Linked DNA regions of Mus musculus: all the other regions are reported to be linked to region 2. The links are microRNA targets in miRTarBase. Many come from high-throughput screens and were not tested one by one. Region 2 holds a microRNA gene; each other region holds the end of a gene's coding sequence.
Evidence for each region. The annotated mature microRNA mmu-miR-1896 reads CUCUCUGAUGGUGGGUGAGGAG and lies in region 2 at 1,500-1,521, opposite strand. An mRNA with a match to its seed (bases 2 to 7 or 8) in the 3' UTR can be bound and repressed. Matches are read on the target gene's strand: a 7mer-m8 pairs with bases 2 to 8, a 7mer-A1 pairs with bases 2 to 7 and ends in A, and an 8mer does both.

Region 1 (3,091 bases), not on the chromosome of region 2:
AAGGGAGTTTCTGTGCAGCTCTGCCAAAAGCTTTGTTGTGATAACTGTCATGTGAAAACCTTTTTCTTAAGTTTTACTGTGCTTAAATGTATACGAATAAACCATGAAGTCAGACTCTAGAAGTTTTGACTTAGCACCTAAAACATTGGTGCTGAATTCCCTTCTTTACTTCCTTTGGATTGGCCCCCTGCAAGCCTTGGAGCCTTTGGGGTCCCTGACAATGACCTGCCCAATCGTGTCTGGTGTTCATGAAGAGACCTCTGCTCTAACCTCACCAAACCGTTTCCTTTACATCAATATGGCCTCAGCCCTCCCTCTACTCAACCACATCCCTTCACTCTCTCCGATGCAGGGCGTGTCTTCCATCACTCCTTCTGTGCTCCTCCTATAAGAACATCAGCACCTAGCCCAAGTTTTCGGGACCACTGAGAGGCCAGGAGAAGCCTGAATGGAGTGATGGCTGGCAATAGGTGAAGCAATGCTCGCAATTGAGTTGCCAATGGCTGGAGCCCAGCGATGAGGACAGGGTCTCACCACACCGTTCCCTTCCCTTGTACAAATCTGAAATTTTCCACAGGAGTTAGAAATAATTTGTGACAAACACGAGCGTTTAAGATGACTATTTTTCTCTTAGGATATTAAAGTCTCTATTCAAATGCAAGGAATATAATTGGCTGACAGAGTTCACAGCTGAGGTCTCATGCGACCCCAGGATCCCCCAGCCAATGATAAAGCACAGTGCAGTAACAAAGGTTTGGGGACACTACAGTAGGCAGTCCTGACTCTGTAGCTCTCCTGTGAGAGCCCTGCATTGCTGTCTGGGTTCTCCCTGTTTCTGCCTTGTGGTAGTTTGAATAAGCATGGCCCCTACAGGCACACAGATTTGAATGCTTGGTCACCAGGGAGTGGCACTATTTGAAAGGATTATGGAGTGTGGCCTTGTTGGTGGAGGTGTGGCCTTGTTAGAGGAAGTGTGTCACTGGGGGTGGGCTTTGAAGTTTCAGAGCCCAAGCCAGGACCAGTATCTCTCTCTTCCTGCTGCCTGAACCATGTCTGCCTGTGTGCCCATGCTCCCCTCCATGATGGCAATGGACTGAACCTCTGAAACTGTAAGCCAGCTCTACTTAAATGTTTGCCTTTATAAGACTGGCCACAATCATGGTGTCTGTTCACAGCAATAGAGCACTGACTAGAACATGCCTTTCCATTTTTCCACTCTGCAATCTTCCGCTGTCAGACCCCATTTCAGCCACCTTTACCTTGCCCAGGTAAAGCACCTCAGTAAAACTGGCTGTCTTACCACACCTCGATCACTGCATCCCAAAGGCCCTAAGCTGGTACAACTGAGGTGGAAGCTGCTTCACTCCCTCTTCACCACCCTCAGTCGCCACAAAGCTTGAAAAAAATAACAAAGAACGACATAATAAAGAGGTGTATACATCATTATATTTAAATGTTCAGTATAATAAATAAATGTTTTCACACTAAAAAAAAAAAATACAATGTAAGCTACGTGCCACCATGGACATCTTTAATCTCAGCACTCAGGAGGCAGAGGCAGGCAGATCTCTGAGTTCAAGAGCAGCCTAGGCTGTAGAGAGAGTTCCAGAACAGCCAGGGCCACACAGGGAAACCCTGTCTCAAAAAAAATAAAAAAATAAAAAATAATAATAAATAAAAATATTTTTAAAACCCAACCCCTCTCTGCCCAAAAATACAGTCAATATATATAAAAAAATCTCATTCAGAAACAATCTCAAAAATTAAATTTATGGTTCTATTGGGGACAAGAGGCTTCATCCAGATTGCTCTTTTTATTGCCCATGACCAAGCTCCACCACACAACACAACTCTGGGGCTTTCTCCAGGGTCATCCTGGACTGGGTGGAATGGTGTTCTGGTTAGTTTTAAATATCCATTTGTCACAACTGAGAACTGTCCAAGAGGAGAGCCTCCTCAGAGGAAGTGCTTTGAGGGCAATGTCTGTGAGGGATTGTCTAGATTGTTCACGGATGTAGGAGAACCCAGCCTACTGTGGGCAGTACCATCCCTAGGCAGGAGGTCCTGAACTGTATAAAAAGAGCTAGCACACAGCTGCAGTTAGCAAGCAGTATCCTCTAGGGTTCCTAACATGTTTCTTTGGCTGTGAAGTGAATTACTTGGTCAGAGGTAGTGCTGTGTGGAACAGCAAGCAGGTCTACCTTCATGGTCCAGCCTTCATCTCCTTGCAGTCATAGACTAACAAAGCCTTTCTTCCTCTAAGGTGCTTTTGGTCGGAGTGTTTATCACAGCAACAGAAATGAAAGTAGGGCAGCCAGCCTCAACCATGCCATCCCAACACTCTAATGCCTAGTACTCGATTACTATGCCTGGCCCTGGTAGCAGGCTAGCACTCGATTACTATGCCTGGCCCTGGTAGCAGGCTAGCACTCGATTACTATGCCTGGCCCTGGTAGCAAGCACGTTGTACCTCTTACCTCTGTCTGCACCCCAATTCAGTAGTGAAAAGCTAGAGAGTCCACCATAGACTACCTAACTGGTAACTGACTCAGAACCCAACTCCACGTTGACCTGCAGATTACAAAAACTTAGAAAGAGTAACTACTTTCAGTCTGGGCTGGACATGGGGATCATGGAAGAAACACTAGGAAGTCCTGTTACAATCCCTCTCACATTTACACAAGACCCAGCACCAGGAGCCAGCCTTTTGGGGTAGCGGTCGGGGGGTGGATAGAGGTTCTGTCTGTCTCCTACCCTGCTTCTCTTCAAGGGAAAGATTTCTTGGCTGCTAGTGAGAGCGGGAGGCCTGACGGCCTCTTCCATTTGGGTGAGACCAGCCAAGAAACAAGGCTAAGCCCTCTGGCAAACATAAGAGAATCACCAGCCAGGAATCCTGGGTCGTGACCCCGAGCTCCAAGGGCTGACATCAAACTTTTCTGGGAGCTTTGAGTGGGACAAAGGCTTTGGCTTTCCTTTCTGGCCCAGGTCTTGGGAGAGATCTTCCAAAGACGAGATCTCCACGTCACTCTCATCTTCTGAAAGCTGCAGAGGTAGAAGAGGAGAAGAAAAATGACATTGATAAGTGCAGGAA
Region 2 (3,186 bases):
TGCTATAGATCCCCTCTGAGGGGAACAAATCATATTTCAACATGATGTTTTTGTGAATGCATTATTCTCAAGGTCTTATGCTCCCGGTACTGTTGATTTATTGTTAAGAACGTAAACACTTTTTCCAAGATTACATACTACTCAGTGATAAAATTGGCACCATGTCAACTCATCTTCATTTGTCAAAGTACCTTCCCTGCTTAACTTGATGGTCCTCGGGTGACCTGATTTATGGTGCTTTTTTGTTTCCCAGGTGACAAATCATGATCAAGAATATGCAGTCATGCTTAGTAGCTTCTGTGTGTGTAACATATGTCACATAATAAAATATAGAACATTTAAAATAAATCACCTCCCACCACAACCCCTGCCCTTCCCCAAAGCCAATCTGGTTAACACTTTCCCAGATGTCAGGCTGGACGTGGTGGTGCTGTAACTGTGGGACCTGAGAGGAGAGGATTAGGTTAGGCCATGTTATTCTGCATAGTGAAAACTTACCTCAAAAAAAACAAACAAAACCACAGTTTCTTGTAAATCACTCTTTATATATATATAAAATAATCATGAGCAAAATTTTGTTGTTGTTTTTTTACTTTGTGAGGATTGAAGCGATCTCATCTCTTAAGAAAACTTTTACAGAGGATCTGGTTTCAGTTCCTGTCAACTACATTGCAGCTCACAACATTCTGTAACTCCAGTTTCCGGGAACTGGACAGCCTCTTACGGTTTCCTTGGCACTGCATGCATGTTGTGTACATGCATACATGCAAATAAAACACACATAACATGTTTTTACATTTATACACATGGCTTTATTTAAGTATTTCCTGCTATTTGCAGATTCCTTTCCCTGAACACCAAAAATAAAATAATTAGTGATATATATATTTACTATTTCAGGTAAAGAGACAAGGAGTGAGAATGGGAATCTCATTGCAGGGACAGACTCTTGTGGAAGAATGGAATCATCTTGTACCATGACTGAACCCATTGAGGCCCAGTGTGAGGACCTGAGCTTGAAAAAGAATCCAGCCATGCCCAAGGAAAAAACTAACAGCCAATGCTTGGAAACTAAGGAGAGACTTGTTCAGAACTCAGGCCTGATTGAACATGACAGGGCACATACAGGAGAAATGTCCTGGGAATCTGTAGGATCTCAGAGTTCTGTTGCTGCTGACCATCAGGAAATCTCTAAAGACAAAGGTCATCCCTGCCAAGAGTGTGGGAAAGTCTTTCAGAGAAGTTCACACCTCATCAGACATCAGAAAATCCATCTTGGGGAGAAGCCTTACCAGTGCAAAGAGTGTGGAAAAGTCTTTAGCCAGAATGCAGGTCTTTTGGAGCATCTCAGGATCCATACTGGAGAAAAACCCTATCTGTGTATCCATTGTGGAAAGAACTTCAGGCGAAGCTCTCATCTTAATCGACACCAAAAAATTCACAGTCAGGATGAGCCCCGAGAATGCAAGGAGTGTGGGAAAACCTTTAGTCGGGCCCTCCTCCTCACCCACCATCAGAGAGTCCATGGTCGTTCCAAAAGACATCACTGTAATGAGTGTGGGAAAGCCTTCAGCTTGACCTCCGACCTTATTCGACATCATAGGATTCACACTGGAGAAAAACCTTTCAAATGTAATGTGTGTCAGAAAGCTTTCCGCCTAAATTCACACTTAGATCAGCATGTTAGAATCCACAATGAAGAAAAACCCTACAAGTGCAGTGAATGCAATGAAGCCTTCAGGCAGAAGTCTGGTCTCTTTCAGCATCAGAGACATCACCATAAAAGCAAACTGGCTTGATGAGGTTCTCTGTTTGAAACATGGAAATGTTACATTGATAAGCAAACAGCGCCTTTTGAAAGAACTCACGACGGCTTCAGGATTCTTGGAAGCCATTTGCCTCCGTTGTGTCCCTCTCTTGGCTTTACTTAAAGTCATAATTAGACTATAATAATTTACCAGAATAGCAGAATCAGAGTTAAACAAATATTCACTACAGAGCTTCTCAGAGCTTTCAGTGTGATAAGTACTTGATTATGTATCTCTTAAGTATTAGCTTTATGTGTGAATGAAGTGTTTGAAATCAGTAAGTCAAGTGCCTATAGATTTATACAGGACAAGATCAAGCTGATATTTTTGTAAGTACTGTAGCAACAGGCTCCTAAAACATAAAATTAATGAGGGTTGGGGATATGCTCAGTGGTTTAACCAAGTTGCTATGCAAGTGGAAGGACTGTTTTGGATCCCCAGCACCCATGTAAAGTCAAATGAGTATGTGGCCAGCCTGTGGCCTGTGGTCCCACCCCTCAGGTGGCAAAAATGGGATCTTTCTAGCAAGCTGGCTAGCCAGACTAGCTGTATCAGCAAACTTTGGACTCAGGGGAGGGAGTTTGGAGAGCAGTCGGTGGAGTTCTTGAGGAAGACTCCTGATGATAATCTAAGTGCACATGTGTCCATACGTATGTAGAGCCATACCTGCAAACATCATACATGTGAAAAGACAAATCCTAAGGAGCTAGAGTTAGCAGTTAACATACCTGCTCTTGCAGAGGACCCATCCATTTTCAGTTCCTAGCACCTCCATAGCACAGCGTCTCACAGTTCCAGTTCTGGGGATCTGCTAGCCTTCTCAGGCTTCTGTACACAGTGGTCCACAGAAACTGGTGGACACACACACACAACTGGTAAAATATTTTTAAGCCCAAAATAAATCTAATAATGCTTAGAAATACACATCCTCAAGGGTCTAACGTAGGTTAACTGAACATTTTCCCTGTTAGGTTCACACAAACACTGGCTTCATATCCACTTTACCTTTGTACCATCAATGAATGCATTTCTGAAAGCTTTTGCTGTTTAACTATAGAACCTACCCTTAGGATTAGCTCATGTCATTTTACATTTCCTGCCCATTTTAACCACAGTATCACAGTGTTTCAAATTATAAATCAAAGTTTTACCTAAACTATGCAAGAGACTTTGAGTCATTTGAGTGAACTGTGTTGAAGTATTCTAAGCAGCGACCTCCTTACTGGGCAGCAACAGTGCCAGTACAGTGACTGCTTGAAGGACACCTTTTTTCATGAATGTCCCATGGGGGGAAATGGGGTTTTCCCCCTTTGATACCAATGATGCAAATTTAAATGCTACTTGTTTTGATATTATTTTGACCATGCAAATCAAATCA
Region 3 (3,091 bases), not on the chromosome of region 2:
CAAACTGCATTGCCAGGGAAACCAAGGGAGACATTGTAGCAGTGCCAAAACTGAGAGGGCCAGAAAGCCGGAGAACTGCTCAGGCAACATCCCCTGATTTTAGAGCAGGCTCCTGAAATAGCGGCTCTCACTCACTCGTTCATAGCACAAAGCAGGAGAGACCAGAAGCTAGGGGCAGGCTTATGATACACTTGGAAGGATCCAAGGGACAGGGCAGTGTGGCCCCTGGAGAGAACAATACCCCTGTCCTGGAGGGCTGGATGAAGTCCAGGTTAGCCTGGGTTAGAACCCTAACTTCACCACCGAAGAACTACACACTTAGGCAACTCATTCCAATCAAACCTGTCTCCCCATCTGAAATGGGAGCAGGGTTAAGGATGAAACGGGATGCAGAGCACAGGCTGGCACGTGTACATGACACTCATGGGCAAATCTCTGAATAAAATCCCGTCTATTCGCATTGTTAAAGACAGAAGTGGAAGACTGAATTCAATTTTTTAAAGGCAGTACCTATTTACATGATACAGTCCTTAGAGAAAGGTCACCCAGTGGTAGCTGAGACTGGCATTCCCCGCCACCCCCCATCTGGACTCTCCTACGTTGCACCACACAGCTCACCCTGACTGCAGAGACCTTTGGACTCTATCATTTTCTTGCTTACACTTATTCTCCCCAACCACATCATAAACCCGCTCAAGTAAACACTGCTACCAAACTAGCCATTACACTCCAGGTCCCGAGTCACAGTCAACAGGCTTCTGGAAACCCAGCAATCAAAAGTGTCAAAATCAAGGTAGCCAGTAGCAGAGGGAAGAAGAAACCAACTGCAAACGGCACGCTAGCCCTGCTCAGAGCCCTGGGTCAGTTCGGAGGATCTGGGTCAATCTGTCTGCTTGCACAACTCTGACTGGCTTCAGGACCCTGCAGAGTAGCAGCCCAGTTTAAGTAACAAGATAAAAGCACAGTTACTCAGGGACTCAGCAAGCTCAGGGCTATGCTTGATACAGGTGAACCTGCAAGCTTCTCACGTGGCATCCCTAAGCGTGCTACTCAAACTAGAGTTAAAGACAAAGGCAGCGAATTTTCTGAATTTTTATTATTGATTTTTTTTTTTTAAACTCTAGGGTGAGCAGACAGTTCAGTGATTAAAGGTACATTCTCTTCTTGAAGAGAACCAGAGTTGGATACCAGCATCGCACCATGTAGATGAGACTGTTCTGTCCTCCACTGGCATGGTACTCATACACACAAACCCACACTCACATTCATCATCTAAGTTATTTTTAAAAGTTTTAACCATTTTGGGTTGTGGGAAGTGTGATCATTTAAAACCAGGTCTTGTGTAGTTTAGGTTGGTCTTGAACCTGTGTCAATTTTCTTGTCTCAGCATCCCAATGCTTCATTCAAAGAAGGGCAACACATACCTGCCTAGCTAGAAAGTGATTTTCTTTTTTGTTTTTTCGAGACAGGGTTTCTCTGTGTAGCCCTGGCTACACTGGAACTCACTCTGTAGATCAGGCTGGCCTCCAACTCAGAGATCTGCCTATTCCTGTGGGGATTCAAAATGTGCACCACAATGCCTGGCTTCGAAAGCAAGTCTTAAAATGCTGCTCAGGAGGTTGACTGTGGCCCGCTGAAGGGCAAGTGACTCGGGTGACACATGAGAATACACAAGTGGTGCAGGAAGCCCGATCAACACTCCCCGAGCAGACACCTTCCAAACAAGTGAGGTGAGTCAGTGAGGCAGAACCCCAAATCCTTCACCTAGGCACGGACAGACTGACAGACCCCACTGCCCCTCACAGCCCTCCCTCCTTTGTCAAGGACACTGAGGGTACAGGACCTGGGCAGAGACCCAGAGCAAACAGAAATGAAAGAACAGGCTGTGTACCCCGGAGAGAAGAACAGGAGGTTTCCAACTTAAGAAAATAGGATGGCAGCATTGCCTGCGTGGAGCGCTGATGAGGTGGTCACGCACATGCAGAAATGACGTGGGATGACGCGCTTAGTAAAACGATACTTTACTTGCACAACCTTAACCGCTACCAAAACCCACCAACCACAAGCTGTTTGCTATCCTTTATTAAGAGGTCCCACATTTTTGTGGGACCCCAGCCAAACCAGACAGGTCCCCTAAATATAGCAGGAGGCCTGGAAGGGGAAGGGAATGACTTAGGATCCCACCACACCTCCCTGGAAACAGAAATCCACCACAGACAGACGGATAGACGGACAGACAAGAGCTGGGGAGGAGAACCCACCTCACTCTCGGTTCTCTCCCCGTTGCACCCACTCAAAAAGAAAGTCAAACACTGGCTATGCAGACCCCAGCCCACCCACCCACCCATAGCAGCGTTTGTGGGACTCCCCCCTGCAACGGGTAGCCCCAAGACAACTCCCTACGGACCCTCCTTGACTTTGGTTTGCTCCTGGCAACTCCGCGCCCTCTTCCTTCCCTCAGCCTCCAGCACACTCTCTGGCATCTTCTACCACCTACTCGGACCTTCCCTCTCTCTTGCTCTCTGCTTTCTGGCCTCCTTGCCCCAGGGCTTCTTGGGGAAGCAGTGGGCACCTTCCTCCTAACAAGGGCCCCACTAGGCCCTGTCTGCCCATCATGTGGGACTCACACAGCTGCCCCACTCTCTTTGAGGTCAGGGGCTGAGCGCTGCCGTCGCATTCGCGGAGGGGTAGTGTATGGTGGGTAGCGGGGCCCTGGCCGCTGGGCTGGGCTGGGCTGGGGCTGTTGGGGATAACCGTTGTGCTTTTGGGGCCGTAAGTGCTGGGGTTCTGGCTGTGTAGAACCCCCTCCCCGAGATCGGCTCCCTCCATCTAGGGAATTCCTGCGAGAACGGTGGGGTCTTCGGGGACTTGGAGGCCTACGGTTAGGGGGTGCTGGGGGGACAGTGACCTCTTCAGGGGGCTGAGGAGCTGGGGCCTCTCCACTCCCCATTCCTGGCCAGGACTCCCTGTGCTGAGGGTTGCTTTTGAAGGGGAAGCGCAGCTTGCAATCATGCGGGGGCACAAAGCGGGCTGGAGGCCTGCGCAGTCCCCCACCCCGGCCCCCAGCGCCCTGCAGTCCCTGCAGCCGCAG
Region 4 (3,091 bases), not on the chromosome of region 2:
ATCAAATACATACACACGCAGTTTAACAGTTCATTTCTCATTAGTATAAAACAGAGATTAGACCACTTTATTTTGTTTTTAAAATTAAAAGTTGTATAACAAAACACCCAAAAGAAAATAAAAATTTTATCAAATTTTGGTACAAGTATGAGTAAATATAGAGTACTCTTCAAAAAAGTAGCATTGAACCATTTTAATTTTAATATTTATTTCAAAGTATTTTTAAAACACTAGATAATTTTATAAATGCCACATATAAATATACAGACCCAAAATATAGCAGTACTATTAATGCAAGAGAAGTAAACTAATAAGATGCTTAAACAAATATGACAATAAAATCAGTTTTCATGGCTATTAATTTTTCATGAATTTAAAAAACTATTCAGAAATAAAATATAGTTAGTATATCATGATTACTATTGAAGTCTAGACTTGCAGAAACAACATAAAAGTACTTGTAAAAAGTTCCCATCTAAATGGATATAAAGTTTTAGGTTTTGGTTAACATACTAAATTTGGTGGGAAAATCTTAAATTAATGTCTCCTTTATATAATATTCTTGAGTTTTTACACACCATTATTGATACGATTAAAAACTCAATGTATACCCCCTATAACATTGCATTTTAGTTTTGAAATAGCAAGTATTGAGATTATTTCAAATGTGGGTAAAGAAAATTAGTAATATAATCAAGGCAGAAAAGAATGCATTTAATTTAGCTTAGCTCAGGGAAACGTTAATGCCTCTGATCACTATTTGCAAAGACCATTTGTAAACTATGATAGAAATTATTATACCTGCCCTGCCAGCAGTTTTTATTTGCACCTTATGAGATCATATTGACTCTGTAGAACATGATGCTCTTATAATAAAAGAAATGTTGAAATGCTGATGGTAGGCTAGGCACAGTGTAGGTACTCAATATTATTAATTCAAAATAAAAAAGCATTATTTCTACACATTTACAATTCAACATGATAGTTATAAGTTGGCCTGAAAGTTTCCAAAACCACTTTAAACAGGAAAATACACTTTTGGTAACAACCATGGAAGGAATTTTTACAAGTGGCCATTTTCAATCTCAGTTTTATAAAAATAAAAGTTTCCATTTTGAGTCCTATAAATGAGCCTATGAAAGCTGTTCTTGCTCCCTGCCAAATATGATAAAATCGCCCTATCAGCACTTTCAGAACTGATTAGTTTAGATAACAATACACCCTATTTCAGTTTCCCTTGAAAACTGAATCTGTGCACCTTTAGACTGGATCCATCAATGTGTATTTCTGAACAATTCCCATTCCTCCTCCTGGAAGTTACTATTATCAAATAGAATTGAGAAATAATGATTTCAAGTAACCAAAACTTTTATCATACTTTAACACTAGTTGACATGAGCAAAAAAAAAAAATGGATGGAGATTTTGAATAACCTGTCTAGATTATCATCATACCTAAGTGTTCCTTACTTAAAAGATTCCTTACTTATAAGATTTGCTCTAGGTCTCTTGCTAGTCACAATAGCTAGTCACAGACACTGATCACCTCTGTCAAATCTGTTGCTCATTGGTGTTCTTTTGTTTTGTTTTGTTTTTCGAGACAGGGTTTCTCTGTATAGCCCTGGCTGTCCTGGAACTCACTCTGTAGACCAGGCTGGCCTCAAACTCAGAAATCAGCCTGCCTCTGCCTCCCCAGTGCTGGCATTAAAGGCGTGTGCCACCACGCCCTGCTTGGTCATTGGTGTTCTATAGTTTTATGTTGTATCTAACTTTTTCTTATTAGAAAACAGGAGAATCATCTGGCAGTTGTGCTTAGAAATCAGCTGTACTACTTGGAAGTAGTCCTTAAACCAGCAATGCCAGGATCAGTTAGAAGTATTTGCAAAGCTGGTTATCTTAGCCTTTTCTTACTTGCCAAAGCTGTTCTTGAACTCCTGAACTCAAGTGATTCTTCCACTTAGGCATCCCAAGTAGCCTGGGACTACATATGCCATGACCACATTCAGCTTTCAAATACCCATTTTAAAAAAATCTCCCAATTTACAAAATAGTATGTCAACTCCATGTACAAAATCTCATTAGTCATATAATGCAAGAAGGAAATGATTATTTAACTGGCTATGTATGTATTTTTTTAAAGTGCATAGGTTTATTTAATTTCACCTAGTAACAAATGCCTCTAAATTAAAAGAGAAAATAAGAAACAAAATATATTCTTAAATGAATTATCATAGAGCACTAAGGTAAGTTGGAAAGTTTAAATTACCAGAGATATGAAAGAACTTTTAATTAGGAATAAAATCATGATTATTTCCTAATAAGACTATTGTATGAAAAGAAATAAAACTGCAAGCTTACTGAAGCAAGTTAAATAGTTTATGATTAAAACTACTCAATTTAAATGAATTATTTTAGATACTCAAGTAAATAATATGGTATTCAAAGAGTTATTTAAAAATAGCTTTTAACAATTATAGCATTAGTAAAAATTACTAATTGCTAAATGACTAACATATGTAAGGATATTATCAAACTGTCTGTATATAAAGGATGGAAGGGGCTTAATACCACAATCCGCTTCATATCCCCATCTGGATCTCAGCAAAGTTATAGAAGCTATCAACATCTCCAGATGCGGTCTCCTTCTTTTCTGATACAAACATCTATTCCAAATACAAAATAAACAAAAATTAGTTCTGTAGCCCTTAACTGTCAAAGGCTACCTCTTCTCAGAACAAAGTCACAGGCTTGGGTTTTCTTTTTAAGTTTTTAGAGTTATTTTGTATGTGTATGAATGTTTTGCCTGAATGTATGTAGTATGTATACCACACACATGCCCAGTTTCCTCAGAGGTTAAAAGAGGGTGTTGGATCCTCTGGAGCTGGAGTTACAGATGGTTGTGATGGTGATGTTAAGGGATATACCATAAATACAAGTACTGTTTGATTATAAGGGAAAGGAGATAAAATGGAAAGCTGGATTGAGATATAGTCAGTAAGATCTTATACCTTTGTCCCGTTGAACATCCCATTTACAATAAGGTGACATTCTTGTACAGCGTCATCTCCATTAAATTCCAAGGCAATCACAGG

Region 1: miRTarBase lists Dzip1l as a target of mmu-miR-1896. Seed matches in the 3' UTR shown: 7mer-m8 at 1,567-1,573.
Region 3: miRTarBase lists Kif1c as a target of mmu-miR-1896. Seed matches in the 3' UTR shown: 7mer-A1 at 1,473-1,479 and 7mer-m8 at 433-439.
Region 4: miRTarBase lists Rp2 as a target of mmu-miR-1896. Seed matches in the 3' UTR shown: 7mer-A1 at 1,607-1,613.

What each region holds. Positions count from the first base shown.
Region 1 is chr9:99,667,590-99,670,680 of GRCm38, reverse strand. It overlaps Dzip1l (DAZ interacting protein 1-like), which reads right to left. Exons shown (of 16, transcript NM_028258.4): 16 at 606-3,042. The coding sequence ends at 2,878. Among named protein-coding and RNA genes, the nearest start is that of Dzip1l, 40 kb to the right of the region's middle.
Region 2 is chr13:21,443,544-21,446,729 of GRCm38, reverse strand. It overlaps Mir1896 (microRNA 1896), which reads right to left and starts at 1,570; the gene lies at 1,490-1,570. Zscan26 (zinc finger and SCAN domain containing 26) reads left to right here. Exons shown (of 6, transcript NM_001347491.1): 6 at 901-3,186. The coding sequence ends at 1,799. 4930470G03Rik (RIKEN cDNA 4930470G03 gene) reads right to left here. Exons shown (of 4, transcript NR_151504.1): 3 at 2,537-2,659; 4 at 1-1,808.
Region 3 is chr11:70,728,412-70,731,502 of GRCm38, reverse strand. It overlaps Kif1c (kinesin family member 1C), which reads right to left. Exons shown (of 23, transcript NM_153103.2): 23 at 1-3,091. The coding sequence ends at 2,624. Among named protein-coding and RNA genes, the nearest start is that of Mir6925, 24 kb to the right of the region's middle.
Region 4 is chrX:20,397,223-20,400,313 of GRCm38, reverse strand. Rp2 (retinitis pigmentosa 2 homolog) reads right to left here. Exons shown (of 5, transcript NM_133669.5): 4 at 3,008-3,091; 5 at 1-2,662. The coding sequence ends at 2,579. Among named protein-coding and RNA genes, the nearest start is that of Jade3, 27 kb to the left of the region's middle.